4 linked regions of the Struthio camelus genome follow. The protein of the gene in region 2 interacts with the protein of the main gene of each other region in a pairwise test. Links are inferred from orthologs where the notes say so. Each region holds a gene or a part of one and is shown on either strand. Other genes may lie near its edges.

Region 1 (7,117 bases), on a different chromosome or scaffold from region 2:
GGGTGGCGGGAGAGGGGAGAGAAGAGAGGAATGAAAAGGGAAAGGGATACAGAGGCAGTCAAAGGGATGGGGTGGGGTGGGGGGAAGAGAGGAATGGAAAGGGAAGAAGGGTTTGAGAGGCAAAGGGATGGAGAGAGAAAGAGAGGGATGGGGAGCCAGATGGAGGGGAGAGGAAGACAGTGATAGTGAGCTGGGCAGGGGGATGGAAACAAGGAGGAGAGGAATGAAGACCCAGACAGATGGACAGGGAGCTGGACAGAGGGACAGAAAGAGAGGGATGGAGGGCCACACAGATGGACAAAGGGATGGACAGAGGGATGGGGAGCAGGAGAAGAGGGATATCGAGGTGAACAGCGGTACAGAACAAGGAAAAGTGGGAAGGGGTGCCAGATAGAAGGATGGAGCAAAGACAAGACGGTTGGGGAGACAGACTGAGGGAGAGAGTGATAGGGTGGAAAAGAGAGGTGAACAGAACAGCAGCACGGCAAGAGAATAAGAAGGATGGGGAGCCAGAGAGAGTTACAGGGCACCAAACAAAAGGGCTGGGAGTGAAGGAGGGGAGGGGGGGAGACAGGGAGCTGGACAGTGACAGGGAGAGGAAGAAAAGGTGGAGAGTTGGATTTGGGTCATTTGGGCATTAGGAGGAGCTTTGGGCAGGGTTTTTGGAGTATTTGGGGTCTGTGGGGTCACCACAGTCACACTGCGGGCAGCAAGAGGGACCCCAATACAGCATGAGCTACGTTGACATCCAGCAGTGCCAGCAATGGAGCCGAGCGGGTTTTGGGCTGCCTGGCCAGGCCTTGCTGTTTCCCTTAATGGAATCTAACATCATTTGCATTAATTGAGAATAAATTGCAGTCAAGGGCTAGCTTGTGCTTATCTTACTGGGATGGGAACATGGAGTGCTGTGACTCTACAAAACTCAAACAGGAGACTGAGTCTGGCCAGGACAGTGAGAGACATGGGATGCTTTCTCACTACTGCAGACTAACAGACAGCAGGAGTGGCCTGGATTACACACCCACAGCCCTGTGCCTGAGTCACCGACTCAGCAAAGAGGTGTTTGATGTTACTTGAGCCACAACAGGAATCAACAGGATTCTCCCTCTGCTGCTGATCGCCTCTGCCAAGCGTCATCCAGTCTTTGGCACCTGTAACATTGAACAAGACACACAATTAAGACCTTCAGCCTGCTCTGCCATACGTGTATTCTCCAGTAAAACTGTATGTTTGGAATTTCCCCATCGCTATCCAGTTATTTGCATAACAAAATGTCACTCAGTTACATACAAGACTTTAATATTTCTTCTATGCATCTGTCTTCCTGCTTCTCCAATTACAACTCCCAAGTAATTAACCTGGGGTGGCAGTAATTGTGTCTTATTCAAATTGAACTTTTACAACTTTTCTCACGCTTCTTCTGTAGCTCCAGTCACAGGAATATAACTCAGTCAAGACCCCACACAGCAGTCTGTAGAACCAACAGCTTACATCACAACCCTGTTTCACCTTAATGGACACTCACTTTGTTCTTTCACACAGACAGGTACCAGCTGATCCTAGCTGATCCTGCTACTGGAAAAAAACAAACTCAGAAATCACTTCATTCTGCACAGTAAGCCTCTTCCCTCAACCAATTCTTGCCCCCTAGATTTTTCTGGCCTTTGCATTAGCATCTCTTGCCGATAACTCCACCCTTTGGCCCATTCTTCCCACGCAAACATCCTCACTCCCGAGAAACAAGCTCCTTTCTGTCCATATTCCCTGCCATGCCTCCCATGCAGCTTCCCACACTTTGCTGAACTCATCCCAGGGTTTCCAACAGAGTCACTGTTCCCTCAATATACCCACAAGCACACTGGTGAAAATCAGGGGCACAACCTGGAAACTCCATCAGTCAGCTGTGACCGACAGTTCTACTCCTATCTTCAGCTCGCCTCCTACTGCAAAAGAAACAAGGCCAAGACTGGAGGAAAAAAAGACATTTCTTTAATGCATTACATACAGCCTCCTGTCCATTTCCATTTCCATACTAGCACCGCAGCTTCCTCCGCATGCACAAAGTTGTTTACCTAAGCAGGAACCAACGCAGCTTGCATTTTCATGAACACAAGTAGAGCCCCTTGCCTCTGCCATTGCGCCCTAAACCTTCACTGCCTTATGTAACTTGACGCGACCCAAGCAATTCACAATTCACACCTCAACCTGTACATGTGCTTCATTACCCCAACTAACAGAGCTCTGTTTCCTTCCCTGTCTCTGGTTGTCGGCCTCACTTGACCTGACTGCATATGTGCTTCTGCTACTAGTTCTGCCCAGACAGTCAGGACACCCGTAATGCCAAGGGCACACAGAGTGCTCCCCGATGCGTACAACAAGAAGGGCACTACTCTGCTTTTATCCGTTCTAGCACGTACCACACAGCATAGTTTTTCCTCTTGGCGTAGGACGTCGCGGGGAACCACGATCATCTCAGCACTGCCACGGGCCAAAACCCAGAGATCCCATGCATGATAGAGAGACGGCTCAGTAAAAAGATTCCTTCTAGTTTTGAGTCTGCAGTGTTCTACAAGCACTCCCTGAGCAAAACTGACACGTACTTGCACATGATTTCCATAGGCACTAACCACCTTGTTCTTCCTATCAGGGAATAAAAAACGCTCATTTTTTTCTCCGTATTATCTCCATATTTCTCCATAGCACATTATCCCAGCTGCCCTCACCTAGCCCTAACCTTCACCTGCTCACAACCCAGCCATCCTATGAGGCCATGCTCCCTTTCCACCGCACATGACAGGACAATCCCCAGGTCACCCAGATGACTCTCTGTGACAACACATCCTGACTAGAAACCAATTGTTCTGGTATTCGATCATTCTCTATGAAGCAGGACCCAGACTTTGCTCGTGCAGGGAAAGGCACCGTATACTCTGCCCTGCAACTGATGAGGCAAGATGGTGCCGAGAGCTGCCTAATGCATGCATCCTCTGACTCTACTGCTCACTGTGCACTTACACTGCAGGCTCTTAACAACTAAAACACAGGTAGCCATCTAGACTAGTCCTGCTGCTCAGCTCCACTTCTCATCTCTGAGCAGCATACTGCAGCTCTTGCTAGACAGGCAGCTGCAGCTTAGGCCTGGCACACAACTCAGGCATCACTGCCCACGCAGTTGGGACCTGCCGCACCACCCAGGCAGAATGAACCCAAAAACCCTGCAATTCAGTAATATTAGTGGCAGGAAGCAAGTGTCTCCAAGATACAGGCTTTACAGTTTGCTCAGTTACAGGAGAGGGAAAAATTCTCCCTTGCCATTGCACATGGACAGTATATGAAACAACTGTAGTAGGTAGTCAGAGGCAGTCAGAGACTCTTTGCCAAGAAACCTACTAACCGTTACTTTCCATCCCTCTGCCACCCCACACCTCCAGCACATACACCATCCTTAGCACTCCCAGTGCTCTTACATCACAGTCCACTGTCATCTGCAGCCCAGCCATGCTCATTCAGCAGCCCCTGTGCTCACACCAGGGGCTGGCTTCACAGTCTATCTCTTCACTTGCAAATGCAGCTCCCTAGGTGCCATCAGACAAGGCTACTTCTTGATTCATCCAATTTAATAGGACCACTGGCCAGTCAAAAGCAGTGCTTTCAAGCAGCATTGCTGCAAGAAAACGAGAAAATAGGCCTACAGAAACACACTCTCCCACCACTCGTCTCCCACACCCGCACAGACACAGGTGGTTCTCCCCACTCAAGTCACCCTCTACCCCCCAGAAGGCCACAGAAGTGGTCCAGACACTGTTCACAAGCAGGGATGACTCAGATCGCCGTTTCACCACTGAAGTTGGCAGGGCCTGATGGACATGACTCAGACTTTGCTCTAGACACCGCACAGTCACACCAATACTCCTCGGAACCCAGTTCAGCACAGCCGGACTGCCACCTCCACCGCAGAGCCTCCCACGTCTTTACGGAAGAGGGACGCGGCAGGCCGCGGGCCGCTCCCTCCGTCCGGCACGGCCCGACGCAGGCCGCTGGGGCGGGGCGGCCGGCCCAGGGCGCGGCGCGATGCGATGCGGCGCGATGCGGCAGCAGCCAGTGGCGCCGCGAAAGACTCCCCGCGAAGGGGCCTCACGGCCGGCAGCGGCGGCCGAAAACAGCGCGGCAAAGACGCAGGGGGACACGTGACGCGGGCCGGCACCCGCGCGGCACGGCTCCTCGCGCGCGGCGGCGCCTCCGCCCTGCCTGCGGGCGCGCCCCACCCCCGTTGCTAGGGAAGTGAGGTCACGCAGTATGGCGGCTCTGGGCCGCAGGGGCTGAGGTGTCGGGGCTGTGGGGAATCCGCGTCCATCCTCCGGCGGAGCTGCGGCGCTGGTGCCGCCTGCCTCGCCACTGTCGCGCGGCGGGACCAAGGCCGCGATGGCATCAGGAACCGTAGGGCTGTGAGCCGGCAGAGCGCGAGCCGGTAGGGTGGACAGGGCAACCGGGCAGGATCGCGGACGGAGCGAGCTGCCGCTATGGAGCTGCGGGTCGGGAACCGGTACCGGCTGGGCCGGAAGATCGGGAGCGGTTCCTTTGGGGACATCTACCTGGGTAAGGAGGGCTTACCCGGGACATACTTGGCGGGTCTGTCGCTCTGTGGAGAGCTGCGTGAGCCGGGCCGGGCCGGGCCGGGCGCTGCTCGAGCTCCCGCCTGCACCCTGCCCCCCGCTGAGGTTGGGTCGGGGGCTGCTCCCGGGACCTCATTTCATTCTCGCTGGAGCACAGACCAAAAAATGCCTTTCGATATGAGGTACCTTGCCGCTGGTGCAGTAATAACTTAATTTTTCGTTGGCGTCATGTCCTAATTTAGACAGTGCGGAAATCGGGACTTCTGGATTATATGCCTGCCTCTTCCCATTGTTGTCTTGTGACCTTGGGCACCGTCAACCTGCTCATCTGTAAAACGTGGATAAGGATATCAATCCCTTCATCTGAAAAACCATTCAGAAAAATGTTTTGAAATAGAAACGTGACCCTCTGCAATAAATATAATTGCAGTGGACTAGGAGAAATTGCTGTCACAGGGAGGATTATGGTTTTCCAGTGAGGCCTAAACAAATGAGATAACTAAGGATGACTAGATTGGAGCTAAAAACATTTTAACCCCTTCATAGAATCAGCATAGTTCAGCTATCCTGTTGCTTGAATGTTGCCCTTACATCTTAATGCATACATCTTATTCTGCTACCGTGATTTCTATGTGACTGTAAAGTTTGCAGGACTAGGACTGTCTTTTCCTGTCTGTTTTTGTAGCTTTCCATCCTAGTGGTTCACTAACCATTTGATAAGCAGCGGTGTGTACAACAAGTTCTGAAACGTGTGTTTTTAAAACACTCCGTTCTACAAACCATCAAACCTTAGGAAGTCAGGTAAATCCAGACAAATGTAAATTTTATATACTGCCACATGAAAGTGAGCATTTTGCTTTTGAAAGTTGTGATAACTTTCAGAAGGCGCATCCAAAGACATGGAAAAAGACTTACAGGAGCCATGGTAGGTTATCTGCATATGTCTGGAGGGTAAAAAGAATTAGTCACTGGCTAATGCATGTAGTATATTAGGCAGTATACCTAGTACATGAGCTGTCTTTTTTTTTTTTTTTTCTAGACAACAGTGCTTTGTATTGCAGCACACAGTTGCCGTTCTGAAATAACGTTAGTGAAAGCTACTTGTTTACGTTACCCAGATACTGGTTATCCTTGATATAGAACATATGCCTGCTGGAAATTCTGTGTTTCTAGCAGAAAGCTTGTGGATTGTCTAGAGGCAGAGAACATCATTCTTTCTCTCTCTAAGGCTTATGTAAAAGACTGAAGACTGCTGTGAGAACAATGGTGATAAGGCTTATGCAAAATCTTTGTTGGCTACCTTTAGGGTTTTGGGTGGAGATTAAGACAACAGTTAAAATCTGAAAAATCTTAGCTGACCTGGGATACTCTTACCTCAGTTTTTGACTACTCAGGTAAATCCAGTCACATTTAAGTACGGTATATTCATACTTTAATTTGTAATCCAAATTAACTGATAAAAAGAAATCAGGCAACTCTGTTGTTACTGTCCTGTGTGCGGTAGCTAGATTGGAAACGATAGATATTTTGTTTGTCACTTTTATCTTCATGCGTAGAGCCTACACTAGAAAAATTGCACAGGAGATAATAGTTCTGTATTTATTAGTACAGAGCTACTGCCATACTGCATTTTGCACAAGAATTGCTCATCCTTAGATTTTATCCTCTTTGATCTCTGAGGAGTCAGTGTGGATTTGCTTTCGGGGCTTCCTGCAAATGTGATGATTGAGTCAGCAACTAGTAGAGAATTATGTGTCTGAGAGATCCAGCTAATAGTATATATTTCTTTTTCCAGGGGTAATTGCTGTTTCAAGAACTGAAATGTGGCAGTCTTTTATAGAGGCCCATTTTGTTTGCTTAACATAATCTATTAAAACAGAGGTTATTTTTAAAATCTGTGCTGTGTGTGATATGAAACATTTAAAACAAAAAAAAAATAAAGTTTACTCAGTTATTCAAACTGTACAGTAGGGCATAACTACATTAAAATAACTTTTTAAAGCCTCTCAGTTCTCATTAATTTTCTGAAGTACAAATGATTTCCAATATTCCTCATCAGATTTCAGGTTCCCAATTTAATTTTATGCTTAATTCCCCCCCCCCCCCGCCATTTTCCAGTCTTCCTGTAGTTTCTTTAATGAAGTTACAGGGGGTTGAAGACAGTCCATTGAGAAGAGACGGCTCTTTCTTTATGTCTTTTCTTTCAAATATAGAGCTAACCATTCCTGATTATCACACTTCTTTCATAATCTTTCCCATTCTCCCCTGCACCTCAAAATGTGTCTTCCGGAATTTGGAATGCCCCCTAATTGGTAGGGTCCTACCATTCTACCACAATAATCTTAGGCACTATTTTAAATACAAGAATAGACAAACCTAGTGAAAATAAAATTTAGGAATGTAATGTACCTGCATCTATTAAGATTACCCTCCAGTGGAAGATATGAAAGAGTAGCACGAATTACTAGAAATTCTAAATAGTACGAAACAAGGGGCACCATACA
Region 2 (6,898 bases):
CTAGATAATTCATCATACAGGGCTTCACCAAGGAAAAGGTTCCCCACACGCGGCCTCAGGGCTTAAAAGGCCTTCCAGATACAGGCGGTAGACTACGTTCACCTTCTCTTCCAGAGTCGCTAATTTGTCCCAGAGGAATTAGTTAAGTTTGTCCTAACAGAATCTCATCTCATACATTCCTGCCACATCTAACCTCACTGGGTCTTCCTGAATGATTTCTCTCTCCCAACTGGTACTCACAATAACTCCCTGCACTGCTTTATCTTTGAGTGTCATTAATCTACCATCTGCCTCCTCTTGTGGAGCCTTAAAGAAACAGAAGAGGATAAAAAGGCACAATGCAGAACTTTGCTGCCACCAGACCCCTCTTCACAACTCAAGACGCTGCTATTTATTACTAAACTTTGTTTATAGTTACACAGACACTCTCCCACCCACATGGCAATGTTTCATTCAAGACAAGTTCGAATTCCCTTCAAGAACAACTATTTCAAAGGATCCCAAAAGCATTTGTTTACAAACAGCACGCACGGAGAATTTGACTAACCCACCAATGAAACACGGTCTCCTCCAAGACAGCAAGAGGCAGCTGTTTCATAGCGCCCAACGCTACTCAACAGCTGAGGGACAGGAAATGAACAGCAGACAACTGATATTGCAGAGGAAATTTATGGAAAATGAGGGCTGTAGACTTCTATTTGCCTGGAGAGAACGGGAAAGCTTTTTTGAGCACTCAAGCTCTTCTCTGGTTCAGGAGGAATTTAAGGAGGCAAAGCGTCCCAGACTGTGGTCAAAGGAATAACTCCTAATTTCAAGCCTCATCTGAAAGCTGGCACCTCCAGAGCTAACAGGAACCTGGGCACTGAGATAAGTTGGCTGCAAAGGGGTGAGCACCCCCTACTGAGGCAGCCACACGGATTTCCATCCAAGCACTGAACAGGCCCAGCCCTGTTTAACTTTCAGAACGAGCCAAGATCACAGCCTAGGGAGGTATTTGGCTGCAATAGGAAGACACTAGGAAGACTATAAAACTGAAAGCCTTTTGCAGGCCCAGCCTCCATACACAAGACCTACTGTAAACACTAAATCTTATGAGGGGAAAAAAACCCAGAGGAAGAAGGATCATGCAACTCTGTCAAATACCAAAGTGCTAGGAATGGTGAAGGGTCACATGCTGTGGAAGCCAAGAGGAGCTACGTTCCCAAGACAGAACTGGAGCTCCTGAAAAGAGCTGGAGAAGAGTCAGACGTAGGAAGACGACCCTGGGCAAAACAGAGCAGGGACAAAGGGTTCTACGTTAAATTGAGTTCATTTGGGACTCGTTCCCCAGAACAGATGCTGACTTCACACAGGTGGGAGACAGCAGAGGCTCCTCGGAAAATCAGTCTGTACAATCCTCCAAACAAGAAACAGAGAGCAACTCCTCACCTCCAAACAATCACGCATGATGGAAGGAGCCAAACATTGCCACAAAGAAGCAATGAAAATAAGGATGTTGAAGGAGAACTGCCCCAGATGATACAGGATGCGAGGCAGGACTGCTCACCTCTTCCATACAGACCCATCCCAGACATCAAGCAGAGGACATCCTATCCCTGTACGCACCCTCCTCTCAGAGATGGGGTACATGTGGGGAGCTCTCATCCACTTTGCACAGAGATAGGGAAGGAGAAAGCTAGTTCCTTTTATACATCCTTCCTAAGGATGAGGTGGGGAGAAAGAAGCTGCCATTTGCACTCCCCAAAATAGAGATACCAGAACAAAACTTCTCCTAATCCCCTCCCTGCACAGGGTTTATGGAGGGAGCACTGCCTTGTTCTCTCCACCACAAAGGGTGCAAAGGGCACTGTCCCCAGACAGGCACAACAGGAGATACCCAGGCCCTTTAGATAGGGCGTACAGGGGGAATGACAATCCCCAGTAGGACACACAGGGGGATGCCACTGCTACATACCTCCAAGGTGGGGTGCACCATGAGGTATGCTCTCAGACAAGGGGCTGTCCCGCACACAGTGAGCAGGGGGATCCCCAGATGGGGTGCACAGCACGATGCTGTTCCCTAGCTGCCCTCAGACAGGGTACATGGGGGTTCCAGCCCCACAGAAGATGAAATGGAGAATACTGCTTCCAGTCCTCCACAGGCAAATTAGAGGAGCAGCTTCCCCCCCAACAGTGCACTTAGAGGGGGGCCTCTCCCCAGATGCAGCAGGAAGGGGCTATCAACCCCAGGGGAGGTGCATGGGGGGGGGGAACCATCACCAGTCCCCCCAGAGACGAGGCAACGGGGGGGGTTTACTGCCCTCAGGCAGGGTGCACATGAGGGCCCCCTCCCCACACCCGGCACAAGGAGGGCTGCTGGCCCCAGAGGGGGCACCGCCACCAGTCCCCACAAAGATACAGCAACAGTAGCTGGGTGCGCGTGGGGGCTCCCTCCCTAGACAGGGCACAAGGGGGCTGCTAGTCACAAAGATGGCGTATGGGGAGGGGGGGCACCAGCCCCCACAGACAACTATATGGAGGGGAGAAGGAAGAGAGCTGCCCCCAGACCCCATGCGCGGGGTGGGGGGGGGGGGGACGGGCTTCCCTTCCAACATGGGGCACGTGGAAAGGGAAGCTAATCCCAAACCCCAGCCTCCCTCGCAGGGGGGCACCGCGGAGCCCCTCAGCCGGGCCCCGGGGGGGGAGGGCGGGGGGGGGTCCCCGCAGCCGGGCTCCTGCGGCAGCCGCCCCCCGCCGGGGCCGCGGGCTCGGCCGCGCTCACCCGAAGTCGTCGTCCATGGACTTGAAGTAGAACTTGTAGTTGGGCCGGTTGAGGAGGCCCTTGAAGTCGCCCAGCGTGACGCGCTCGGCCGGGATCGGCAGCTTCACCAGGTACGGCGTCTCCTGCTCGTCCAGGTGGTAAATGATCTTCGTCTCGGCGGCCGCCATGGCGCCCCTGCCCGGCCGCCAGGCCTCCTCCTCCTCCTCCTCCGCCCCCGGCCCTAGCCCCGGCCCGCGACCCCCCGGCCGCCGCCGCCGCCTCAGGCCTCGGCCCGGCCCCGCCGCGGCTCCCGGCCCGGCCCCGCGCCCCGGCCCGGCTGCGGCCCCGGCCCGGCCCGGCCCCGCGCCCGCCGCCCCGCGCCCCTTGTTCTGCGGGGCCCAGCGCCGCCCGGCTCCAGAGCGCAAGCTCGGGCTCCGGCGGCTCCTCCTCCCCCGGCCTCCCGCCCGCCCGCCCGCCGCCCCGCCGGAACCGGAACCGGCACGCCGCGGGCTCGAAGCGGCGTCCCGAGATGGGCCCCGAGCTGAGCCGAGCCGAACCGGGACGCCACCCGGCACCCCGGGCTGGGCCCGCACCCGGGGGTGCCCCCGGAGCGGGACGCGACCCTCCGAGCCCTGGACGCCCGCTTACGGCGTACAGGGCACAGGAGGATCCCGCTACTTCCCCTGCCCCTTATCGCCGCGCCGTGCCCTTCCCTGATCCTCAGACATCAGGCACTGCAGTGCCCCTTCAAGTTTCCCCAGCCTCAGTTCCCTCACGAGGCAGCTCTCCCAGCGCCATCACGTCTCTCCCTACTCTGCTCTTCGCAAGCATCCTTTTTTCCACATAGCGCAGCCTCTTTGACCGTGCAATATCTGCTCTGAAAGCCCCTTGGCTCCATGGGTTTCTTGCCATCGTCTCTCTCATGGCACACACTGCTCCCCAAACCCTAGTGCTCTCCTACCCGCAGTCATCAAGGCCTGTGAGCCTAACGCCAAGGACTTGCATCCCAGCAATCTTGGGCTGGCTAGCTGGCTTCCCCTCTGGACACCCCACCAGCATCCCACAGCGCACTGAGGGACAGGTCTCCAGCAGCGGTTTCCTGGAGCTGCAGCTGGGAGCAAAGCCGGGGCTGGATGGAGCTTGGGAAACGCTCGCCACCAGGCAGGGCAGGAACAGCCTCACACTGACCTGGTTTGGCAGGAACAGCAAAGGTAGAGGAAGAACCACCTGTAGGCCCCCACCAGCAGCCCTTGGAGCCAGACTCACCTGGGGTAAGAGGAAGGGCAGAGAGAGCTTACAGGGAGCAAGGCCAACCTCCATGGCAGGCAGGTGTGAGCCGCCTCATGCATGAAAGAGCCCTGTAGGTGTTGCCAGCAATCATCTGGGTAGCAGTGGTGGATGGGGTCAAGAATCTGACATTAAAAAAAAGTATCAAGAAAAGACCTCAGGTAAGCAGAAATTCTAACAGGCTTGAGGACCGCTCATATTTCCACACTGGCTCTTGGAAGAGTGTCACTTTCTCATGCTCAGAGCTCCATAGTAAAAAAAAAAAAATGGTGTACTTGGAAAGAAGAATCCAGGTCAGGAATGGAAGGATTTAATTTAACCTGTCTCTTGCTATGTCAATTTCTATAGCTGTCCTCCAAGGTTTAGGGGGTCCTTAACTTAATATTCAGGGCCACAGCAGAACCATTGCTTCTCTAACTGGGATGCTGTTTGCCAGAGTAAAGGGAATTTGCTGCAGGAGGCCCTGCTCACCCTGTCTAGATACCTAGGTAGTTGCTGCAATGCTAGCTTGCAGGCCAGTGCCCTGGGACTTGACAGAGAACTAATGTAAAGGTCCTTTTGCAACACCTCCCTGTCACAAAAGCTAGGCCCATGTGAAATACTAGCACTTTTCCCTTGCTAAGCGCCAGGGCTGCTCTCTTGTCCCCTTTTGCAGCTCCTGAGCACAGTTGCGGCTGCGCCCCAGAGCCTCTGTCAGATACGTTAGACATCTCTGTTGCCAAAAGGACAATTTTCTGAAGCGTTGAGCTCACAAGGGACCACATACAGCCACAAGGTAAAAGGAGGGGTGCCACACACCCATAGAGCTGTAGGAGACCAAATCCCACACTTGCATCGGTAACAAGGGCATTATTACAGCTGCCCTTTTTCTTTTAAACAGGCCAAGTGATTGAATACACTCAGCTGATAGATTGATTTAACTGCTTGCAGAAGTCTTGTGAAGTATGACTCACTCTTAATGAATGGAGGTAAAGAACACAGCGCCAGAGAAATTAGCAGTAGGGGACCAGGCTGAGAAGTCTAGGTCCACAAGGAACAGTTTCTCAACAGCCTGTTGGCTTATATCTACATTTGAAAGTCACAGCACTGATAAGCACTGCTTCTCCTTACAGCGTAAATGGGCTCCAGGCATTTTAATGCCTGGAAACTTGCTCAGAACAGCCTGATGCAGAGATGGACGTACTTGACTTCCATCCCTTTTACCTTTAAGCAATGGTTTTTTTTTTTTTTTTTTAAATAAAGACACACTATTGTTCAGCTGAAGTTATGGGCTTGCTACAGGAACCACCAGGTGAAATCCATCCATCCCTGTTAGATGGGATGTCAGACAAGGTGACTACTCTGACAGTTCTTGGCCTTAGGGGGGAAAAACAAAACAAAACAAAAAACTGCAAAGAATGAATCTACTTACATCGCTCAAAAAGACAGATAATAAGGACTGCACAGTCAAGGTTGCTCCCAAAGGCATTTCTGCTGTTCCAGCCAAATATAACTTTTGATCGAAAGCAACAGAAAGCATCAAGCCCACCCTACGCTTAAGCAACCAGTGCTTCTTTAAAAAGGTATACACTTACCCGCCCTTTAAAAACATGGATGCTGCACTATGCCAGAACTCCATCTTGGGGAATATCGAGTATTCTACTTGGAACAGTCCTTTTTCGCTAATGGAGTCTCAGCACCTATAAAATAGTATTGTGTATGTGGTGGAGGCTAAGTCCTGAAGGATAAGGGTTTTTGGCTATAGGGTACCATTCGACCCTTGATCTCAACCTCTGGGTAAGAAAGTGGCTCACATCATGAACAAGTTGGCCACTATGAAGCAAAGGAGTCAGGAACATGGAAGACACAAAAGTGGAATTATTACTTGGCACAAAGAATCAAGAGCCTCTCACTAAAACAAGCCATTTATGGAATTACAGCTTAAACCTTTTTTTTTTTTTCCTAAACAGCTTAATCTGATTTTTTTTTTAAACCAGCTTTATATTGTAAAAGCAAAAAAATACCTAAGATGTCTGGGGAGATTTTAAAAGCATTTATAAACCAGCTGTGAGACTCAGGAATTTTTAAAAGAGCTTTGCAGCTGCCCTTCCCCCTCTCCACCAGTTCTTACTCTCCATCACCAGGAGGGCATGGTGCAGCACACACAAGCCAACATTCCCACTAATTCTCATCATGCCAAAGGATAGCAGGTTTCATAGGATTTAAGGTTCATCTTTGTAACATAACCCTGTACAAAAACAAACCTCAGCCACTTCAGGATTCTGAAGTTCAGCAAATTGTTCTCTATTTGTAGATGGTGAGGTCATGAGCTACCATTGAGCACTTATGACAATTCAATGGGGTGTTGATTTCCTACCTGCCTATTACGTGCTTGAAATCTCTCAAGAGAAAAGCAGCTATGTGTTATTTAGCTTACCCGTAAGCCCTGCTCAGGCATATGCCACAACTGGAGACATACAATTCAAGCTCAAACAAGGCAGACAAGCCACTAACACCAGGATAGTTTTTATTTGCTCCCTGAATTAAATATTGGCAGATACAGAAAATTCAGATACCAACCAATTCCCCAACATTTACAAGACTGAGTTTGCGATGTCAGAAAACAAGCGCATTTACGAACAATCCTGGCAACTGATACTGTGAGTGCACAAGATCGCTCTTGCCTGAACATCAGTTTAAGAGGCAGTATCCCTGGCCTCCAGCATCCAACATTGTCCCCTCACTGACAACTGTGGCACCACGGAACGGCCAAGTAAATATCCTGAGTGGGCAGCTCCAGTGCATTTCCCCCAAGGGATTTATTCTATGCTCCTTCTGAAGGGGCAGAGGCAAGGTCAGCACATTCAACATACAACCCCCTATCAATAAAAG
Region 3 (7,461 bases), on a different chromosome or scaffold from region 2:
CTCTCCTCGGAGGATGATTTCTAGGCTGTTCCTGGCTTTTTTCCCCTGAATTCTGGGAAAAACTACAGTGCGACGGGCTGGCCAGAGGGACGGGGTGCCCGCTGTCGAACGCAGGTGCAACGTTAGAGGTAAGAGAAGGCTCCCTACCTTAGAAAGGCTCACGAGCCCCGTATCCTGCCTTTCCTCCTGCCGCCGGTGTTGCGGCCCTACCTATGCAGGAAGGGCTCTCACCCCATCGTTGTAAGGCATCTTCCTTAAAACCTGACTCATTTCCTGCAGGGCAAGACGAGGACGACGCAGGTGGGGAGCTATGAATCACCCGCCGCAGCTGGGAAGGACGCGGGCGGCCCAGCTCCCGCCGGGGCTGGAGCAGCGGCCACCGGCGTCGCCGCTCCTCGGGCGCCCACCGAAGCGGCGCGCTCCCGCTGCTCGCTTTTGTGCCCCGCCGCTTCAAAGCCCTTGTCTCCGGCTCTGCCCGCCCCGGGTACGCCGCCCACGCAGTCGGAGCCCGGACTGGTTCTGCGACCGGCTCGACTTCCTCAAAGCCGCGGCCCGCGCGCGCGTTGCGAAAGCGCCGGCGGCGCTCGGCAGCCTGTCTCGGAGGTGAAAAACGCCGCGAGTCAGAGCTCTCCGAGCCCTGCTCACCTAGAGACCGAGTTACAGGCCCCGGGCGCGACTCGCGTAGACAAATCAATCCGCTTGGGCAGATTACGGCTTTAAAAACTGATGCGAATGACTAAAACGCCGCTGGCCCTGGAGATATGTCCTGCCCCTGGAAATCGCTGTGCTACAAATCACAGCGATGTAAGAGCAGCATGATACCAACCAGCTCCCGCGCTAGGATGGATGGGCAGAGACGCAGGTTGCTTATGCAAGTAGCTGCACGTGGCGCGGCCAGCCTGGCAAAGCGAGAGCGGAGAAGGGATGCGATGGCTCTATAAATACATCACCGGGGAGGGAGAAGAGCTATTTACGCTAAAGGACGTTGCTCGCGTGAGAGCGGATGGGGGTAAATCGGCCCTGAACGCGCTCGGGCTGGAGAGGAGAGGAGGGTTCCTGGTGAGCGCAAGTGAGCCCGCGAGCAGCCGCGGGAGGGAGAGGGCTTCGAAAGAGCATCCCCGAAAAGGACCATCTGGTGGGACCCAGGAGAAGGCAGCCACCGAGCTCCTGCCAGCCCCGCAGGACGCGGGAAACACCTCGAGGCAACACGACGGCAGCGCCTTCGTGTGCCCCGGGACGCGGCCGAGCAGCGGGCGGCCGTGCAGGGGGCCGAGCCGGGCTCCGGCTTCCCAGGTGCCTTCCTGCCGCCGGCGCCGAGCCCCTGCCAAAGAGCACGAGGACGGGAAGGCGGCCGAGGCCGCGCGAGGATATAAATTAAGCGAGCGGTAACGGAGCCATTGAAAATGGCACCGTGCAAGCTGCCGCGTGTGGCGTTATTTACAGCCCTTAGGAAAAACACCAAAGTTTGTAACTATTTCCTTCTATGTGAAAACATTGATTTTTGCCAGCATGAGCTTTGAGCTGAGGTTCTCGCGCTTAATAATACAGAGATGACAAAGCAAAGGCTGCTTGTGCAGAGCCGCAGGCGGCTCCCTGGCGGGCCGGGCTCATTTTCTGCCCGACGGACCCGCGGGGGAGACGCCGTCGGAGACGGGCGCGGAGGAACGGGCAGGAGGGCGCGAGGCAGCGTCGCCGGCGAAGGCGGCTCTGCATCGCTCGCCACGTCCGAAGTTTCTCTCCCCGCCGGAGAAGAGGGGAATTTCCCAGCCCTGCAGCTCTCCCTGCTCACGCCGAACCTTTTTTTCCTCTACGGACAGGAACCCCGAGGCCGAGAAGTTGCCGTGTGCCGGGGACCAGCCGCGATGCCGGCGCTCGGAGCCGCGGCCGAGCGAGACGCCGGCGCTGGCGGCAGGAGACGAACCACGTCGCGCACGGGCAGCCGTGACCCAAGATGCGCTCTGCCCTGGGGACGAGCGGCCGGTCCCCCCGGCTCTGCCCGAAAGCAGGGCTTTGCCGCTGCCTTCGCGCCCTAGGAGCATCTCCGCGGGCAGCGGCCGCAGCGTGGCCCGGCCCCGGTCCTGCCTTGCAGGTGCCCTGGGCTCCCCTGCAGCCAGCAGCGCCCGTAAAAATAGAAATTCCCACGCCTGAGCTCTCTGTTGGGCAACCGCAGCCCTAAACCGAGCGCAAACTTCACCCACGGAGCCTGTAAAAACCTAGGAAATACCAGCTTCTCCTAGCTGCCCTCCGCACCCGCGGCGCCCCATTAGCAACCACGATAACAGGCTCTCCCCTGCACGCCTGGCCCGAGATGGGCATCAGAGGGGGGAAACTGAGGCACGGGGGGGAGGCTTTTCCCCAGGGGAGAATCCAGACCGGGCGGATGCAATCTGTTCCCGCTCTCGCCCCTCCGTGGGCTCTTTTGCAGCTTGTTCGCTCCCAGTTTTCGCTCATTCTCTCTCCAGCGGGCTGGGAAAGTAAGCGGGAATCGAAAAGCTCGCCTCCCAGGGCGCTGGATCCCGCTTGCCCTGCACCCAGCGCCCTCCCCGCCACGCTCTGCTCTTCCCAACGGCCAGATGCTGCTGTTTTCACGCAGAACGGGAGATTTCCATGGGACCGAGACGTCTTCCTGCCGGGAAAGGCCCTGCCGGCCCGCGGCCCCTCCTGGCCTCATTGTTTGCCGAGGGGCTGCCGCCGTTATCAGCGCCCGGAAGAGGCAGCTTTGCCCCAAAGAGCAGGCTCGCGCCTGAAATAAACCACCAGATTTCCTTCCTGTCGCTGAAGTTTCCAGCCGACCTCAGTTTTTGTTTTTTTGGGGTTTTCTTTTTTTTTTTTTTCCCTTCTCCTCTTTAATGAAAAACGTCCTCAAAAACCAGCCTCTTCCAGCAGCCCAGCGCCGTTGTGCAATGAGTGCGTCGCAGCTCCGGAAGAGCGCGGTGCGGCCGGGCCGGCGACGGGGCCGCAGCCCCTGAACCGAGGCTTCGCGCGCCGTCGCAGCCGCGTCTTTTGGTTTCTCCCCACCTGTTTTCCAGGAATCCCAGCCCTAGCAAGAAGAACAAGGGTCTCGGAGGCGAGACCTGCAGCGATGATGGGAGGCTTGGCCAGGGCCCGGCGCTCAGCCCTGAGCCTGGCAGAGCCCTGCACATCCCGCTTCCCTTTCCGGCACGCAGCGGCCATCACCCGGCGAGCAGCATCCCGCCTGCGGGTTCGCTTTGGCCGCAGCTCGGCGGAGACGGCCGAGAGCCGCTCGGACGGAGGTGAAAGGAGCAGAGGGACAAAGCCGGCCGCGTCACCAGCGCCCCGGCTGCCCTCTGCCTTCAGCACTGTTTGCACCTACGCGTCCCGGTCCGGATTCGGCCCCTGCCGCCAGGCCGGCACCCGGGGCTGCAGCTCCGCTGCGCGACAGCAGCTCATCGAACGCCCGACGGGTCCCCGCCGCGGGGACACCGATCCCCCCCCCCGCCCCGTCCGCCGCGGAGGGGGAAGCGGGAGGAGGCGCCGGCCGCCGTTGCTGCTGCGAGCCCGAGCAGGATCCGGCCCGCTCGTTAGAAAGCATCAATTAAAGGCGCTGTCTACAAAGGCGGGGGGGGGGGGGGGGAACGTGAAACCCTGTCATCTCGCCAGCGGCCGCGGGCATCGAGCGGCGCGTCCCGGCCCCGCCAGCCGCGATGGGTCGTTTCTGCCTCCTGCCCGGAGCTGCCTCCCCGCCGGTCGCCTTCCCCCGGCTCTCCCGCGTTTCCAGGTCCCAATTACCGGCTAACGGGCAGCGTTTCTCCAGCCCCCCCCAACACCCAGCTCCCCTGGCAGCCGGCTGAATATTTCATGCAGGAACACAGAAGCACTTAAATAATGTATGGGCCAGCGCACAGCAAGCGCGCAGCGCGAGGGGAACGGCTTGGCGCCTCCACCGCCGCCTCCTCCTCCTCCTCCTCGTTACGGCCGGGTTAACGCAACCCCTCAAGCCCCCGCGTTTCGCCCGGCTCCATCCCGCGCTGCAACGAGTTCCCCCCCGCCGCCAAAGCCGCAGGGAGACGCGCGGCTCGGCTCGAGAGCGCCATCCGAGGCTGAGACCGCTCCTCTGCCCTCCGTCCCTGGCTCTCCCCCTCCAGGATCGCTTTGCAGCGCCGTGTGCCCCACTAGCCAATAAGTATTAATTAATTAAACCCTGCTGCTGGGTTGGGTTACCGCAGCGGGGCTGCGTTCGGGCACCTCGATAGGCAGAAACGCTCCGGGAACGAGCGCCTGTACCAGCCCCGCGACGTCGGCTCTCCTCCGCCGCGCACCCCCCCTGCCCCGCGAGCGCCGGGCGCTTTGGGCTGGCTGCCGCCGGCGGGATTTAACGGAGCCGTGACAGCCCGGAGCGAAGAGCTGGTAGGGATGAGGCCTTGCCAACTCATTGCACGGCTGCCGGCCCTGCCAGCCCCTCGCCGCACCCAGGCGCGCAGGCAGCCAGCCCACGCAGCGGGGTGGAAACCAGAAGCCGCCCGAAACAGCCGGTAGGGTTTCTCCTTCGTAACGAAGCCAGCGCCGCCGATAAGCCTGCCGGGCCTGCTGACTATCCGACTCGGTCCAAATTTAAAAAAAAGAAAAAAATCCCACGCGGAGCTGAACCAAAGCCTGGGACCGGTGCTCTGCCCCGGCAGCTCCGAGGCCCCTGCGCAGGGAAGGGGGCCGGCCGCTCCGGGGGGCTCCCGTGGCGGCCCCCAGCATCCCGCTTGGTGGGAACGGGGGCTGTCGGCAGGCAGCCCGGAGGAGGAGAGCGCGGCCCGGCGTCGTCTGCTGATGGAGAGGATACCGGGCCCGCTGCGAGGCCCTGGACGTTCCCCCTGCTCGCGTCTGGGAAGAGGGGAGAGGGCCGAGCTGCGGCGGGAACCTCGCGGGATCGCCCTTCCCGCGCCGCAGGAGCCGGAGCATCCCAGCTTGCAGCCGGCCGGCCCGGCCGCGCCGCGGGGAGGAGGGCGAGCGGAGCTATTTTGGAGCGTGTGTCTCGCCTTCTGTTTCCTCCTCCTCTTATCGGGTCGGGATCGACAGTTCTCCCCTGCAGCGACTTCCTTTCGCCTTGGCTCAGGAGGAGGCAGCGCTTCGACGGGGGAGCGGAGGGCGAAAGGGAGGCCAGACCTCGCTCCATCCTGCTTCCCAGCGCCGGGGACCTCGGCCGAGCGGCACATCACACGCTTCCTGCCGAGGGAGCTGCGGCTGCCGGACAAAGCCGCTCGGAGAGCAAGGAAACATTTCGCCGACCGCAGCTCTAATGCGGACGGGGACGGTCCTGCTGCGCCTAGCGCGGCGAGGTCCCCATCCCTGCCACCCGCCGCCACCTTTCAAGTCAATAAATAACTTTTATGGCTCCGGTCCTTCCTCCCCAAACCTCTCCGTCTGCTCTGAAGCCGCTAGAGCTTTGGCTAGCGGGAGTCAGCAAAGGCAAGTTTTATACCCAGCCTTGCCATCGGCTTATCGAGCAGTCCTTTTGGGGAGATCCCCCCCCCCGCCTCAGTTTCCCCATCAGCCCAAGGGGATTCGTATCTCGGGGGTTGCAGAAGTTCAGTCGTTTGAAACACAGAGCCCTTGAACGCGCGAGGGAAACGGAGCGCTCCTGGGAGTTTAGGCACCAAGGAACGAGCACGCGTGGGACAGGCCGGCGGCGCACCGGAGCCAAGTCCTGCCCCCGGCGACGGGAGCTGCAAGGACGGGGCCTCGGGCAGGTCGACGGAGCGGAGCCCTCGCGCCTCCTCTCCGGAGAGAGGCCTGGAGACCACCTTTCGAAACTCCCGTCAGCCGTGCCGCCGGCTCCGCTGTTTATTCGGCGGAGCTGGGAGCCGCAGAGCTCTCGCCCTCGACGACTTCCCGCGGCCGATGCTCTCCGCAGGCCAGTTAGGTGTGGTGCACAAAAACACATCCTGTTGTCAGCCCGCGAGTTGCCACTTTCCGCTTCACACCCCTCCTCGGCTTCCCCAAGAGCGAAAACAAAAGCTCCCGACCATAATTATCGTGAGATGGAAAGGAGACAAGAGGTGGCGGTTCCCCTTTACGGGAAACGTAATAACCCCCCTCTCCATCCGAGCCGGTTTGCCGTTCTCCCGCGCGTGACCCCCAGGAGGCCCAGCCGGAAAGCGGAGCCAGGAGCTGCCGAGCACCAGCCCAGGGCTCAGCCCACCAAAGAGCTTCAGCCTCTTGGTGCTTTCTGAATCCTTGGTCATCCCCGTCTCCTCCTCCCTAGCACCTCTGGTTCTTAGAGGTCCCCCAGCCCCTCTCCTCTCCTCCCGAGCGGCAAGGAGAAGACGCCCCAGCGTGGGCACAGCACGTGCGTCGCTGTGCGCGCCGTGCCCGGACCCAGGCGTCCGGGGCACCCAGCCGGCCAGGCGCAGACGGGTCGGGGCCTCCTGGTTTCTCGGACAGCGGCTTGACCGCTGCCGCCTCAACTCGGGCAGGAGGAGAGGGCCAGGCGGTGGGCCACCCGCCGCCCCTCTAAAGAAGCGGCCAAGTCTCGTGGCAAGAGCGGCGGGTTGGGTGGCCAGAAGACCCCCCGCCTTGTACCCCCTGCGCGGGGGAGATGCCTGGGTGCTGAGGCCGCCGAGACCCCAGCCCCAGCCTGCACCCCAAGGACACAAAGATGCGGAGACGGGGATGCTCTCCCTTCCGAGGGGGAAGCCGGAGCGGCTGCTCCCGGCCTCGGAAGTCAGGCCGGCGCGGCCGCCGGCGGGGAGCGAGGGGCCGGAGGCGCGGCCGGCCGGGCCTCGGCGCTGGCAGCCGGGCTCCGAGCGCCCCCGCCGCCCGCCCACCCGGAGCGCCAGCCCCCCCCCCGCCGCCGCCGCCGCCGCCGCCGCCGCCGCCGCGCAGCCCTTACCTGCGCCCTGCGCCGCGGGGGCGGCGCTGCGGGCCGAACCGGGCCGAACCGGGCCGAACCGGGCCGAACCGGGCCAGGCGTCCTCCAGTGCCGGGGGCGGCCAGAGGCGACGGGACGGGGCGAGGGGGGGGCGGGATCGCAAAGGCGGGGAGAAAAGAGAGGGGAAGGGCTGGGCCGGGCTGGTGCCGGTGCCCGGTGCCGGTGCCCGGTGCCGGTGCCGGTGCCGGTGCCGGTGCCGGTGCCTCCGGCTCCCCCCACCCCCCCCCCGCCCGCGGCTGCTACAAAGTATCGGAGCGGGGCAGAAGTCGGAGACATCGGGGCAGGGGGCGGTGCCGGCCGGGCGGCGCCTGCCAATGGCAGCGCGGGGCTTGCTACGAAGCAGCCAATGGGAGCTGGGTCTGCGGCGGCCGGAGGGGGGGGGGGGGGTCCCCAAGGCGGTGTGGCCGGGACATCCCCCCCCCCCCCCCCCACTCCCGCTCCACGCGCGGGGTCCGGGTCGGGGGGGGGCTCGGGTGGGTGCCGCCTCGGCCCCCGCCGTCGGGGCTGCGGGGGTCCCTACCGCGTTTCCCACGGGGCGCCCGCTCTCACCCTTTCCAGGCTTTGTCCCCCCTTTTCCCATC
Region 4 (7,838 bases), on a different chromosome or scaffold from region 2:
CGCCCCGGGGTGCCAGGGCGCTGCGCGCACCCCTGCCCCTGCGCGCATCCCTCCGCGGCTGCGGCTGTGCGCGCAGCAGCTGGCTGTCGGCGGGCTGCCCCGAGCCGCGTGTGCGCATCGCGCCGCTGGCCGCGGCTCCCCGCGGGGCGCAGCGGCCCCCTCCGCTCCCCTTCGCCGAGCGCAGGAGCGGGGCGCAGCCGCGGCCCGTGCTGATTAGGGCCGGCTCGCCCCGGCTCCGCCGTGTTTCCCCATGCTAATGCCGTGTAATAAAAGTCCCCTGTTACAGATCATAAAAAGGGGGATTGGATTAGTATGTTTAGGTTTAAAAAAAAAAAATCAGTCGCTGCATCGCCCTTGGATGGATGCAGCCTCTGCCTTTATATCTAATGAGAATTTACAGCCCTGACTAGGGAACAGAGAAGCGGGGGCCGCTCCTGGTGTTTGATGCAAAAACCTGATACAGGCTCTCTATTTCTTTTCTTTTTCTTTTTCTTTTTCTTTTTCTTTTTCTTTTTCTTTTTCTTTTTCTTTTAGCCCTAGGAAACTGTTTGAGTCCCCTGTGATGGGAGCCGTGAGCCGGGGCAGGAAGGGCCGCCCGCGCCGGGCAGCCCCCAATTCTCTTTCCAGGTTAAAAAAAATAGCATCGCCGTGCCCGGCGGCTCAGCGCTGCCGCATCCCCCCGCAGACCCCGGGCCCCTCGGTGCGCCCGGCCCCGCGGAGGCTGCGCTCCCCGCGCCCGCAGCCCGCGCCGCCCGCCCGCCCTCCGCCTGCCGGAGCCGGCCCCGGGGCCGCTCCTCGGGCCTCGCCTCCCGGCACAGGGATGGCGCAACTATTAGTGAACCCCGATCGCAGGGCTGGAAACTTCGAGGGAAAGAATGGCGGGGTCTATTGAAAAAAAAAATAATAAGAAGAAAACAGAATCCCATATAAATACGAAGAGGAAACGAAAGCCAACATGTTCAAAACCTGTAATTCACTCCTCGGAAGGTGCTTCCAGACAGGAATTTCCTGAAAATGAGGGTAATAGTTTTAATTATGGCTCCTAGACATTTTAAAGTAAGGCCCTCAAAGCAAATCAAGGTTAGATTTGCAAGCTGCAATCTCGGAACATCAAACCAAAACATCTCCATACAGAGGGAGAACGAAATAATGGTAATGGCAACTCGTATATTAGTTTTATTTGCTTCCTGAAGTATTCCAGCAATATTAACGCAGTTTAGCCCTCTCCCTGGCTTTGTTTTGTTTAAATGCAATTAAGACAATGCTTTCAGATGCAACGGCTGTTTACTTCGGGGAGATTCAAAACACAATCTCCGCGATCTGCTTTGGTCACTCGCCTTTTAATTGCCAAGACAAAAGTAGCTTTTCCCTTGCTGTGCCCGGCAGCCAGCGCTCCGCGCACCTCCGTTTTCCCCGGCAGTTCGTATGCGGGCGCTGGAGACCCGCCGTCTCCTCGCGCCCCGGTCCCGCGGGCCGCAGCCGCGCGCCCTCCGCGGGGCCCCGGGCGGGCGCGGGGCGACCGCCGATGCCCGAAACCACCCGCGGAAATATCCCGGGAGGAAAGCAAAGGGGAGGCGGGGAAAGCGTGCCGGCCGAGGCACGGCGGGCCGAAAGTCTAAGGATCAATCCAGGCCGAGCGGCTCTGATCTGGCCGTGCGCTGCGGAGATACCGCGCACGTTAACCTCCCTCTTCAAACAACTGCCGTGGCTACACATGCTCCGAGGTGGCATCGGCTCTCAGACAGAGCCAGGCCAGGCACCTTCGCCTTGCAAGTATGTGTCCGCCACGCTTATTGACTTTGGAGTGCAATCGCCGCCCGGCCCTTGTCCTTCGGTTTGTCCATCGGCGGCATCGGCAAACAAACCGGCCTGCCGGCCTGGGGGTGGCCGACCCGGGGCGCGCAGGATGCGCGGCCGCGGGGGCTTCGCCGCCGCTGCGCGAAGAGCTCGTCCGGCCTCGAGGATGGGGCCGCGCAGGGACCGCGCAGCTGAGCCGCGACGCAACGGCCAAAAGTGCGTGAAGCAGCAGTTTATTGAAATATTATTATTATCATTATGACCATGGCTATGATGTGGCGGAGCCCCCGGCGTGGCCGGCCTCGCCGCGGTGCCCCTCCGGCTCCCCAGGCCCGGCTCCGGGCGGCATCCCCGCGGCCGGGCGAAGGGTCTCCCCTCCTTCGGCCGAGACCCGAAGTTTTGCAATTAAAATAAACCCCACATCGGCCCAGCGTTGCTCGCAAGACCCCCGCCGGCCCCGCGCTCCCGAAAGGGCCGATCTCCCCCGCGATGCTCCGCGCCGGCAGCTGCCTCCGCGCTGCGTCCTCGCAGCGGCGCCCGCAGCACCCCGCGGCCGCGGAGCGGGGTCACCCGCGCCCCTCTTACCCGCACTCGGGGCTCGGTGAGGTTTGTCCACACGGCGATCTCCTCCCGCATGCTCATGTCCGGGTAGCGGTTTCTCTGGAAAGTGGCCTCCAGCTCCTGCAGCTGCTGGCTGGTGAAGTGGGTCCGCTGCCGCCGCTGCTTCTTCTTCTTCGCCGGGTCGTCGGCGGCCCCGTCCTCGCTTTTCTGCTCGCCGCTTCGCTCCTTTTCTGCGGTGAGGTGTCGGTTGGGGTTGGGGTTGGGTTTGATTTGTTTTGGTTGTGTTTTTGCAAACAGAAATACAGACACACAAAGGCAGGCCCGCAGCCCCCTGCCCGGCCCGCCGGAGGGACACGCGGGGGGGCCCACGCGGGGCCCCGCCAGCCAGCCGCCCGCAGCCCCGCAGCGAGACCCGGCGTTTCCCGGCGCGGCCGCGGCAGGAGCGCGGTGCCCTGCTCGGCCCGAGCCCGGCGGGGAGGCGGCGGGACGTGGGGGCTGCCCGGCTCGGAGAGGGCCCGAGGGGCGAGGGCCGCCCCGGAGGGAGCGGGTCCCCTGCAGCATCGGCCTCTCTTCCCCTCCCCGAGTTTTTTTTTTTTTCCTCCTTTAAACCTACGGCGCGATCTTTGCTCCATTGTCTTTGTTGTGCTCGGCCGCGACAGGAAACTTTGGAAGGGCAGGGGCGCAAAACCCAGCAGTAATTGATTGCAAAAGGCACCCTCTCTCTCTGCCTCTCTACTCCTCCACTTTTTTTTTTTTGGTTTGCTTTTAGGATTTTAGTGTTTATTTTAACCCGAAGCTGAGCGTAGTCCTCCGCAAAAAAACGTATCGAAAGAGCTAAATCAAAAAAGCCCAGCCGCATTTTAGTGATCGAGATTTGCAAGGACTGGAGGCAGGAATCCAGGCCCGACCCCACAGCAACGGGGGCAAAAAACCCTCACTCATTTCGTAAAAGCCCTTCCAGCACTCCTCACCCAAAATCTCAGATTTGGCCCGGTTTAGACGCCCGGAAAGGGACTGAAAGGCCTGAACTAAATACACTCTCCGGCCTGGGCCCGGCGGCGGCTGAAGCGCGGAAAGGTGCGGCCCCGGCCGCGGGTTTCTGGGGCTGGTGGCGGCCCAGGCCCGGTCCGGCTCGGCTCGGCTCGGCTCGGCCCGGCTCGGCCCGGCTGGGCCTGCAGCAGAAGTGAAACTCCGCGGGAGCAGAGCGCGCCGCGCACGCCTGTCTCGCAAGCGCCCGGCCGGCTCCGCCGCCTCGGCTTGTGCCCCCTTCGCTGCTCCGCGGCCGGCGGTGCCAGACCCGGGGGCATTTCTGCAGCCGCGACCCCTGCGAGGTAACCGGCAGCCTGAAACACCCGCGGGCCGCACGCAAACCCCGCTCGGCGGCCGGCGCGGCGGGCTCGTCCTTGCAAAGTCACCCATTAATCGGCCTTTGCCTGGGAACCCTCCGTAATAAAAGGGAGAGAGAGCGAGCTCAAACGCTTAAATGGAAACCCCAAAGTGGTAAATGGGCTTATTGCCGCCCGGATGGCCTCTATCTGCAGTAAGTGGTTTGCAGAGCAAACAAGGCCTGCAAGAGAAACCCCATTAGGATTTCCCTGATGTCCAGATGCTGCCCCGCCGGCCCCGGCCTTGCGGCCGGCTGGACCGGCCGAGCCCGCACGGCCCCGCGGCCAGGGCCGCGGAAACAGAAACCGAAGGTGTTCACGGAAAACACAAATACTGCTCGGGACCCCTTCCCCCCCTCCCCTTCCTCTCTCTCTTTTGGCTGGGAAGGGCTCGGCGAAACCCAGGAAAAACCATTGCAGCGGCAGCGGTGATCCATCCAGGCGACTGCAAACCTCTCTCCGGATTTAGCCCAGCCATGATTTCATTAAAAATCGAGCCACCGAGCAGGGCTCTGGTACAATTTCAAATCATTACACACATTAGATTTGATTGGCATTTGTTTCCTTTCTTCCATCAAGAAAAAAAAAGGAAAAGAAAATGTGAAAAGTATTTTGTAACTTCTCGGAGTAGAAAAGTAGGCAGGTCCTTAGCCCTCCTCCAGCACTGAGGGGTCACATATAGGGGTACGGCAAAATGGAGCAAATCTCCCTCTCTAATCTCAAATAATCCTCTCTAATCTCGGAGTCCCTTCCAGACTCCGGGCTGAGCGCTCCCTAACTTTGTTTGCGAATCAGACGGGCAGGCACAAACCAGACCCTGTTTATCACCGTGTGCCACTTTGGGATTGACTCGTGCCGCGGCCACTCTAGAGATTATAGGACCTGCTAAAACTGAGAACAACAACAACTATAAAAAAATAAAATGGCATGACATATAAGCGTCTCCTGCAAGAGACACGGCGGAGAACAGACTTCACGCTCTTTCCTTCAGCTTTTGTTTCCTGCTCGCAGCCTGCTTTGTCATCCTAGAAATGTTGCTGCTCTAATGAAATACAAACTGGGAAACCACAGCTTTCCCTGCAATAATTGCACGCGTCGATCGGGAGTGCGGGAGCCCTCGGAGAGCCCGCGGCCCCGCCAGGAGCCCCCTGCGCTCCCCGCCGCGCTGCGGCCGCGCACATCCCTCCGCGGCCGGCCGCGCTGCTTGCGCCGGCCCGCCGCGGCCCTGCGCCGCCTCTCTTCCTCGGCGGGACATTTTTTTTTTTCCTCCCCCCTCCTTTGACAGAGAGATCTTTTTACATGTCTGCACCACCCGAGCTGGAAAATAAACCCGGGCAAAAGCTGACATTATTTCAGAAACATCCGGCAAAACCGCGCTCCCCGAAGAGCCCCCCGCCTTTCCCTTCTCTCCGATCAATTAATATCTGTTAAAAAAAAAAAAAAAAAAGCCGCTCCTGGGCTGGGGCGCGTAGCCATGTGTCTCGGCTCCGCGGCTGTCAGCGCGGGGCCCGGCGGAGGCGGCTGCTGCCCGCGCCCCCCCTCCCCCCTCCACTTCGCCTCCAATTAATTGCGCTCATTAGGGAAAGAGCCGGTGGCTGCTGCCCCCCCGGCGCCGCGGGGCAGCGGTGCGGGCCGGGCGGCCGGCGGAGCCGCGGCGGGCGGGGGGCGCGGGCCGGGCCGCGGGTTACCTGGCACCTCCGCGTCGGAGGATTCACTGGCCGAGTTCTCGATCGGGTCCCTGGGCTCCGAGGATCTTTGCAAATGGAAGCTGGAAGCCATGTCATGGGAGGGTTGGGGTCTCAAGCTCTCGGGCAGTCTCTCCAAATTCATTCCACCTTTAAAGGAATCCATGGCAGGGGCGCCGGGCTGCCTGGGGGATTTTGCAGGTGTTTATTCCACACAGAAAGGAACAAGGAGCTTTTTTTTTGGTTTTGTTTTAAGAAAAAAAAAACAACAAAAACAAAAGCAAATCCACTTATTACTAACAGTATTATTTTAAGGGTTTCAGAAGAAGAGATCTGGGCAATGCCTCGAAGCTGGTTGTCTTTGCTCGAGGAGAGGCACGGCAGTCCGGCCGCATAGGCAGGAAAGTGGTAAAGATCCCTTATAGAGAAACGCGAGTTGCGAGTTGGACAGTTTAAAGCTAAAGAGATTAAAGTGACCTGCCCTAGAACAAATGCCTGTAGTTAAACGGGGCTCCTCCCCCTGAAGGTTAAAACCTCCCCGTCTCGCTAATGCATCACTCCATCTAGCGCTCGCCCAGCCCGGCCGCGGGCGGACCTGCCTCCGCGCTCCCCGCCGATGTGCGCGCCTTTGCGCGGCCGCGCCGCGGCCCGCGGCCCCCCGGCGGGCACCCGCCCTGCCCCGCCGCCCTGCCCGGCGTGCAGGCGCCGGTCCTTCTGCCCAGAGGGTCCCCGCCCTCCCCACCCCTAGCCTGTCCCAAACTCAGCGATTTTTAAAAAAATATTTCAGAAACGAATGGGAAGGTAAAAAACTCTTCCCGGCTTTGCGGGGAGCAGCTCGGGCAGTCCCCGCCCGCCGCCAGCCTGGGGGGCGACAGACCGCACAGCCCCCCCCCTCCCCCCGGCCTGCTGGGGTATTTTTCCTCGAGGAGGCGGCCCCCCCCCCGCTCCCGAGTGCTGTGCGTAGTGGGGCGCGGAGGAGCGCGGAGGGGGGTTACCCGCTTGCCCGCCCCCGCGCAGTGCCAGCCCTCCCTCCCCCACGCTAGGCGACTGCGCCAGCCTCGACGGCAGGTCCCGCACTCGCGCGAACCCTCCCTCCTCCGCCCCGGGGCCTGTCCAGAGCGGCGGGGCAGCGGCGCGCAGTTTGCGCCCCTGCGCAGCATGGTATCTCCATGGGCACCCCGCCTGCCCAGCCTCGTGGGAGCCCGGCTGCGCGGGGATGCGCGCCTCGCAGGCCAGCTAACGCGCCCCGCGCAGCGCCGCGGCCCGCCCCGCCGCAGGGCGACCCAGCCGCGAGTTTTAATCCCGCGGAGAGCACATTCCTCCAACCTTGAGGGAATTTCTTTTCCGGACGCCTCCTGGGTTTTGTGTGTGAACAGTTTTTATTTTTCATACGTATACATATACATACATATACATACACACATATATATATATTCACTGACGGATTAATAATAAAAATAGTTAGGAACTCTGCCCTGGCCGGCCCTTCCGCCGTGCCCCGCTCGCAGAGGCCCGCCGAGATTTGTGCCTGAGCAACAACTGCAGCGCGAGCGCTCCCATCACATCATCTTTCAGCACGTTATTAATAACAAATAATTTTCCTCCCGCAGCGAACTCCCGGTGACCCTCCGGAGGGGTGTTTGCGGCTCTCCGGCCCTGGGAGGCTTTTCAAGCACGGAGGCCGGGGCAATCCGTAAGGAAGGGCTCGGGAGAAACCCGCTTCTCCCCCCCCGGATTTGGGCAGCCCATGCGAGCCCGAGCGCGCCGGGCCCGGGGCGGCGTCGGCGGGGCCGTCGGTCCGGAGCTGCCCGCTCCCGGCCCGGCGGTGGCTCCGGGGCCTTGTCCCGTTGCAATGATCCGAGCGTGCCCTGTTTTGCACGGCCAGGTGTGGGGCGGCCCTTTGGAAAGAAAAGCCGCCAAACCCGGTGACATTTGGGATCGGCCGTTGTCCCGCCCAGGGGGGTTAAAGCAGGGCAGGTCTCCAGGTGCCCAGAGTGCTGCGCGCAGGCCGTGATTATCGCTGGCCTTTGGGGCCCTTCCCGGACGCTAAGGAAACACCTCGATGTTTTGGGAGGTGGAAAAACTCAAAGAAATTGCTTGGCCTCGGAGCTTTCCGCCACGGCAGAAGGAAAAAAAAATATCAGCCCCCGTGGGGAAAACACGAAGCGCCATGCGGAGGCGCAGACGCTCGTGGGAAACGCGCCGGCTCCCGGGCCGCGCTCCGCGCTCCACTCGCCTCGGCGGAGGCGGCCGCGCCGACGCGCGCTGCGCTGCGCTGCGCCCTGCGCGGGCAGGGCCGGCCCGGGGTCCCGGCGGGGGTGCTGCCGGGGTGGGGGAAGGACCCTGGGTGTAACTCTTCCTAGTGAAAGGACCTTTTTCTCTTTATTTTCTCTGCTCGGTTTCACTGATC

The links.
Region 1: the proteins of DVL3 (region 2) and CSNK1D interact in binary tests that used the Homo sapiens proteins (3 or more experiments, as listed by UniProt). The two-hybrid records come from large-scale screens. The link is inferred for Struthio camelus from reciprocal best matches to the Homo sapiens genes DVL3 and CSNK1D.
Region 3: the proteins of DVL3 (region 2) and TNFAIP8L1 interact in binary tests that used the Homo sapiens proteins (3 or more experiments, as listed by UniProt). The two-hybrid records come from large-scale screens. The link is inferred for Struthio camelus from reciprocal best matches to the Homo sapiens genes DVL3 and TNFAIP8L1.
Region 4: the proteins of DVL3 (region 2) and PITX1 interact in binary tests that used the Homo sapiens proteins (3 or more experiments, as listed by UniProt). The two-hybrid records come from large-scale screens. The link is inferred for Struthio camelus from reciprocal best matches to the Homo sapiens genes DVL3 and PITX1.

The regions. Positions count from the first base shown.
Region 1 is NC_090960.1:59,291-66,407, forward strand, and holds the start of CSNK1D (casein kinase I), read left to right. Parts: upstream 1-4,105; 5' UTR 4,106-4,520; coding exon 4,521-4,596; intron 4,597-7,117. UniProt on the Homo sapiens protein: Essential serine/threonine-protein kinase that regulates diverse cellular growth and survival processes including Wnt signaling, DNA repair and circadian rhythms. It can phosphorylate a large number of proteins.
Region 2 is NC_090950.1:22,511,120-22,518,017, reverse strand, and holds the start of DVL3 (segment polarity protein dishevelled homolog DVL-3), read right to left. Parts: upstream 3,014-6,898; 5' UTR 2,929-3,013; coding exon 2,762-2,928; intron 1-2,761. UniProt on the Homo sapiens protein: Involved in the signal transduction pathway mediated by multiple Wnt genes.
Region 3 is NC_090967.1:4,560,485-4,567,945, reverse strand, and holds the start of TNFAIP8L1 (tumor necrosis factor alpha-induced protein 8-like protein 1), read right to left. Parts: upstream 3,009-7,461; 5' UTR 2,672-3,008; coding exon 2,374-2,671; intron 288-2,373; exon of another isoform or gene 148-287; intron 1-147. UniProt on the Homo sapiens protein: Acts as a negative regulator of mTOR activity.
Region 4 is NC_090954.1:4,282,908-4,290,745, forward strand, and holds the start of PITX1 (pituitary homeobox 1), read right to left. Parts: upstream 3,011-7,838; 5' UTR 2,920-3,010; coding exon 2,383-2,919; intron 1-2,382. UniProt on the Homo sapiens protein: Sequence-specific transcription factor that binds gene promoters and activates their transcription. May play a role in the development of anterior structures, and in particular, the brain and facies and in specifying the identity or structure of hindlimb.